Linked DNA regions of Kluyveromyces lactis. The protein of the gene in region 1 interacts with the protein of each later gene in a pairwise test. Links are inferred from orthologs where the notes say so. Each region holds a gene or a part of one and is shown in the gene's direction. Other genes may lie near its edges. The genes, in order: APM1 and APS1.

The links.
Region 2: the proteins of APM1 (region 1) and APS1 interact in binary tests that used the Saccharomyces cerevisiae proteins (3 or more experiments, as listed by UniProt). The link is inferred for Kluyveromyces lactis from reciprocal best matches to the Saccharomyces cerevisiae genes APM1 and APS1.

Annotation. Positions count from the first base shown.
Region 1 is NC_006040.1:1,215,001-1,218,484, forward strand, and holds APM1 (Apm1p), read left to right. Parts: upstream 1-1,573; coding exon 1,574-2,905; downstream 2,906-3,484. Other genes in the region: KLLA0_D14201g (2-isopropylmalate synthase), read left to right, coding at 1-78; telomerase subunit EST3, read left to right, coding at 729-1,283; thioredoxin peroxidase DOT5, read right to left, coding at 3,148-3,484. UniProt on the Saccharomyces cerevisiae protein: Component of the adaptor complexes which link clathrin to receptors in coated vesicles. Clathrin-associated protein complexes are believed to interact with the cytoplasmic tails of membrane proteins, leading to their selection and concentration.
Region 2 is NC_006042.1:2,118,598-2,121,179, reverse strand, and holds APS1 (Aps1p), read left to right. Parts: upstream 1-1,443; coding exon 1,444-1,914; downstream 1,915-2,582. Other genes in the region: DPH5 (diphthine synthase), read left to right, coding at 155-1,051; KLLA0_F22792g (uncharacterized protein), read right to left, coding at 2,035-2,397. UniProt on the Saccharomyces cerevisiae protein: Component of the adapter complexes which link clathrin to receptors in coated vesicles. Clathrin-associated protein complexes are believed to interact with the cytoplasmic tails of membrane proteins, leading to their selection and concentration.

The DNA of each region.
Region 1 (3,484 bases):
TCATTCTTGGCGTTGTTATCTTGTATAAACGGTCTTGATAGGGCAAAGAACTTCACTGTCAATTCAGCTGCCAATTGATCTACCCATGCGGTATGGAAATAAACGCCATCATATCTGAACTATATATATATATATATAAATCAATGAGATATACCGATATTTATTTCAATAATGAAACATGAACAAAAGCTTCCAAAGGCATTCCCATGTTTCTTCTATTATGGCCATGCTCGTGGGTAAAGCATATTTACCAGAACCTATTGTGTCATCTGTGGCCCCTTTTACATGACAAAAGTAAGTCGGTTATATTCTATTCTTGTCGTAAATGTTTCAAGAATGAAGCGGTGGCTCAATGGTAGAGCTTTCGACTCCAGTTAAATTCTGGGAATTTTCCAAGGAAACAAAATTGCAATCGAAGGGTTGCAGGTTCAATTCCTGTCCGTTTCATTTTTTAACATTTTTGCATAGCTAGTCACATGACTACTTTTGCCACGTGGATTATGATTTTGTCCAATAAACTCTCATCGAATTTACTATTCCGCGATAGTTTAATGGTTAGAATTCGCGCTTGTCGCGTGCGAGATCGGGGTTCAATTCCCCGTCGCGGAGGAATTTTTTTACATTTTTGTATCAAGGTACAATCTCATCCTAAAACCCATTGTAGTACAGAAACAGAGAAGCATTATTAACATACACTGAACAGAGACTCTAACCTTATCAATCCTCACATGCCCAATGTTGTACTTTCTTCAAGATTAACGAATAATGATTCAGTGTTCTTGCAGGAATGGATTAAACCTTCGGTAAGGCCTTATTATTTAAAGAATGAAAAGACGAAATTCTGGCCAGAACAACGTGAACTGGTAACGGACTTACTAGAACATGATATCATAGAGTCAGCTTTCCAAACGGCTTTGAATCCCGCACCTCAGAGGTTCGTCAGAATTGTTAAATTCCATAGAGTAAACGATTACACCGTTTATGCAACGATTAGAGACTCTACAGCATTAATTCTATGCTACTTCACTGTAGACTGCGTGCTAGATTACGAAACTATAAACAATGATAGGATCACATTGAATACACTGAATACGTTGTTCGTCATCGGCAATGTAACCCTACAGTTTTGGAACCACAGAGAGTGCAAATTATGGTTCAATCAGGATTTTCCTGGACTTCGAATGGTCCCCGTGCTCAAGATTGAAAAGGCCCGGATGTTTGACAGAGACCAGATCTCGTCCAATGTCCAATTTGAATGGGTATATGACACACTTCATGGTTGAAGGTCTCTCTTGCCGAGTGTTCGCATTGTTAGATGCAATTTAGCACCTCGTGTATGTGGTGTACCGCTGTAAATAAGTGAAATTTCGGTATCCAAAGCATTGAAATCTCGAAACTACATTTATAAATAGTGTCTGAACAATGAACAATCTAAGTAATAGCCAAACCGTACACTAATATATCGGTATAGGACCCTGTATAGTAACCAATTGTGCAGTATCACTAGTGTGTTTTTTGCTCTTTCTTTGGTGGAGTTTCAGGAGGCAACATTTCTTAAAAAGATACCAGTATAATGGCTTCGTACGTTGCATTTTGTGATTCAAAGGGTAAGCCACTACTCTCGAGAAGATACCAAGATGATGTCTCACAGTCTGCTGTCGAATCGTTCCAGCATTTGTTACTAGAAAGAGAACAGGAAAGCAGTGTCATGCCTCCTTGTTTCCATCACAATGGGATTCACTACATGTACGTGCAGTATAACGATGTTTACGTGCTAGCATTGACCAGGTCAGTATCCGTTAATGCTACCACTATGTTCGCCTTCATGTACAAGTTGATCAATGTAGTTGAGGAGTACGTGAAAAGGGTGGAAGAAGAGTCAATCAGAGATAATTATATTATCATATACGAACTTTTAGACGAAATGATGGATAAAGGCGTTCCGCAAGTGACAGAAACGAAAATGTTGAAACAGTATATTACTCAGAAGTCATTCAAATTGACTAGGTCAGCGAAGAAGCAAAAGAATGTGGCTAGACCACCAACCGAATTGACCAATTCTGTCAGTTGGAGACCAGAGGGTATCAAGTACAAGAAGAACGAAGCGTTCTTGGATGTAATCGAATCGATCAATATGCTAATGACACAGCAGGGCCAAGTATTAAGATCTGAGATCTTGGGTACTGTCAAAGTTAGATCCCGTTTATCTGGTATGCCTGATTTGAAATTGGGTTTGAATGATAAAGGTATTTTCACAACTAATGATCAAGAAGATTCACCTGAACCTGTAGTTTCTTCGAAGAAAAAGAATAGTAATATAGAACTTGAGGATCTAAAATTCCATCAATGTGTGAGATTGAGCAAGTTTGAGAATGAAAAGATTATCACGTTCATCCCACCTGATGGGGAATTTGATCTAATGACTTATAGACTCTCTACCCCGATCAAACCTTTGATATGGTGTGACGTTAAGGTACAGGTACATTCAGGGTCTCGTATCGAGATTCACTGTAGGGCAAAGGCACAAATTAAAAAGAAGTCAGTAGCGAATAATGTGGAGATTTTAATACCGATTCCGGAAGACGCAGATTCGCCCACGTTCAAATATTCTCGTGGTAATATCAAGTGGGTTCCTGAAAAGAATGCAATTCTATGGAAATTTAGTAGTTTCCAAGGTGGTAAAGAGTACTCAATGGCTGCGCAACTGGGGTTGCCCTCAGTCTCTGATGCTGAACCACCAAAATTAAAAAGACCAGTACAAATCAAATTCCAAATTCCTTATTTCACAACATCCGGTATTCAAGTTCGTTATTTGAAAATCGAAGAACCAAAGCTACAGTATAATAGTTATCCTTGGGTACGTTACATTACGCAGAGCGGAGACGATTACACCATCAGGCTGTGAAAGTGACCATGATTTGAAGAATTTCTGGCCATCCTACTCTAATCTATCAGTGCTTATATGAGGAGAAAGATTCATTTGCAATTAAAAATGAAACGCCCTTGAGAGAAACGCTACTCAATCTGATCTTATGTGTGTATATAGTAATATAAATCTTTTTCCATTCTCAATTATGTTTAAATCCTTTGACATTTACTATTACATATGAGAAATCGATCGTCAGTAACTATGTTAGCCACTGGGTTTTATAAAGACTTGGCCAATTCTAAAACCTCTTTCTTACCTTCTTCAATACTGACCTCAGGTGAAACTTGAACCCTCTTCACTTCTAGTTTACCGTTCTTGAAGATCCAGTGAGATCTGACAACACCAGAAACAGCTGTCTTCTTAGCACCCAAAGCTCCGATAAATTCACGTTTAGGGTCGCTTAATAGATCAAAAGGCAAGGCTTGCTTAGTTTGGAAACTCTTCTGAGACTTTGGAGCGTCAGCACTTAGTCCAAAAACAGCAGCGTGTTCCTTCAATTCGCTATAATTGTCTCTGTAGCCACACGCTTGTCTAGTACAACCAGGTGTACTGGCC
Region 2 (2,582 bases), on another chromosome or scaffold:
GTATCGAATTGTTGAAAATTTTAATTAAAGTGGATCGAGATGACTAGCTCATCGCATGGTTGACAGGAGGGAATGGAGTAATTGCACTTAGCTTGGTCTCTGCTTCAAATTGTAACTGAGGAAGTTTTAAGTAACGAGGGTAGTTTTGGTAGCTATGTTGTACTTTATTGGATTAGGTCTTTCTTACGAAACAGATATCACCGTCAGAGGCTTGAATGCCATCAAGCAATGTTCGAGAGTGTACTTGGAGCACTACACTTCCATATTGATGACAGCTTCTCTAGAAGAACTAGAGGAATTTTATGGCAAGAAAGTTACACTAGCTGACAGGGAACTTGTCGAATCGGGAGCTGAAGAACTTCTCCGTGATGCCGATAAAGAAGATGTTGCGTTTTTGGTTGTCGGTGACGTTTTTGGAGCCACCACTCATACTGACTTGGTGTTGCGTGCCAAGCAAAGGAATATTCCAGTAGAAGTCATCCATAACGCGTCTGTTATGAATGCAGTAGGATCATGTGGGTTGCAACTATACAATTTTGGTCAAACGATCTCTATGGTCTTTTTCACCGATAGTTGGAGACCAGATTCCTGGTACGACAAGATATGGGAAAACCGGAAAATCGGGTTGCACACCTTGGTTCTTCTAGATATCAAAGTGAAGGAACAGAGTATAGAGAATATGGCTCGTGGAAGACTCATTTATGAGCCTCCAAGATACATGAGTATTGCACAATGTTGTGAACAACTATTGGAAATTGAAGAAACAAGAGGCACTGAGGCATATACTCCTGATACTCCCTGTGTAGCAATCTCAAGACTAGGTTCTGCAAGCCAAACCTTCAAAGCAGGTACCATCAAAGAGCTAGCCGAATATGATTCTGGTGAACCATTGCATTCTTTAGTTATACTCGGTAGGCAAACCCATGAATTGGAAATCGAGTATTTGCTCGAATTCTGTGACGATAGAGAAAAATTCAAGCAAGATGTCGCCAGTGATCAAGAATATTTCAAACCACCAGCATGGGTTCCACCTCCAGAAGATGAAGATTAGGCCAGGTCATGGATATGTAAATTATATATTGCATGTATCCTTTGTGTATCCGCTTCTTCAGCTTCATGCAAAGTCGTCTGCGGTGATTCTCATTTTTCGTTATATTAACTATTAATATAACATGAATGTAATAACGTAACTGAATCGAATGAATCAGCATGTAAGCAAAAGAAAACAAACAAAGAATAACAGGTCACTAGAATCAAAGTTTAAGTCTAATTCTGTCCCAGTTGATGTTTTAAAATTAAGGTTATTATTCAGCTCTACAACTTTTCAATTGGTGTATCCGAGAAACTACGGATAAACGATTAACAAGGGCATTAAATACCACAACCACCGAGCTTAAGAGACAAAAGCTATCCTATTCGTTATAAACAAAAAAGGTCATTGAAATGTCACAGATTAAGTACATGCTTCTCACGTCGAGGCAAGGCAAGACTAGGTTAATCAGATGGTATCAACCCTTCGATATAAAGTACAAGCATAAAATACTAAGGGAAGTGACGACTAACGTACTGTCCAGGAAGTCAAAAATGTGCAATATTCTAGAATATCAAGATCACAAAGTCGTGTACAAGAAATATGCCAGTTTATACTTCATTGCAGGGATTGATTTGGATTCGGACAACGAATTGTTGACTTTAGAAATTATACACAGATTTGTGGAAACTATGGATAGATATTTTGGGAACGTCTGCGAGTTAGATATCATATTCAATTTTAGCAAGGCATACAGCATATTGGATGAAATGATAATGTGTGACGGATCTATAATAGAAACTAGTAAAGATGAAGTTATACATGTTGTGGAGGCCATGGATGCAATTGAATCAAATGATGACCTTGATAGGGTATTGAGTTGAGAATGCATGCATTCAAGCAATTGACGTGATACTGACCGAGATGAATAGAAATTTAAATTAAATTGTGAATATGTACAATATATTATCCTTTCTTTCTTTATGTACGGAAACTCAACAATTCTACTTGTACAATAGTTTTACAAAATCTGCATCCCCCATCGCACCTACACCTTTCTCGTTATCAGTAGATTCGCCTTTTTCAACAGCCCTAATCTCATTGTACAAAACACCAAATACGTATGGGGTATCATCGTATTCATCCATTTCACTGGCCAACGCCCTGTACATTACGTTACTCTTACTGCATGGATGCTTTTCTTTGTACAAAAGAACGAAATTCTTGATGAACTCCTGCTTATCATCCTTCTTTAGTTCATTCCATTTTTTATAACATCTCATCGGCGTAGCATGAAAGTTTCTGTTCTGTATCAATGCAAATCTTCCTATGGCTTGTCTAGCTGCAAACATCTTTATTAGCGTCATTACTTTCTTTCTAGTTAAAACCCCTTCTATAGTTCGTAGCAATCTCTTGAATCACTATATATTCTGCTTTGGTCAATACTTCGGAACAATGTTGGCTTGTCTGAGATAGATCTATTTCACCAAAAACGATCCAGTTATTTATTTATTATATACCCACGCCACAGAATGCGATGCGCTTTCTTTCC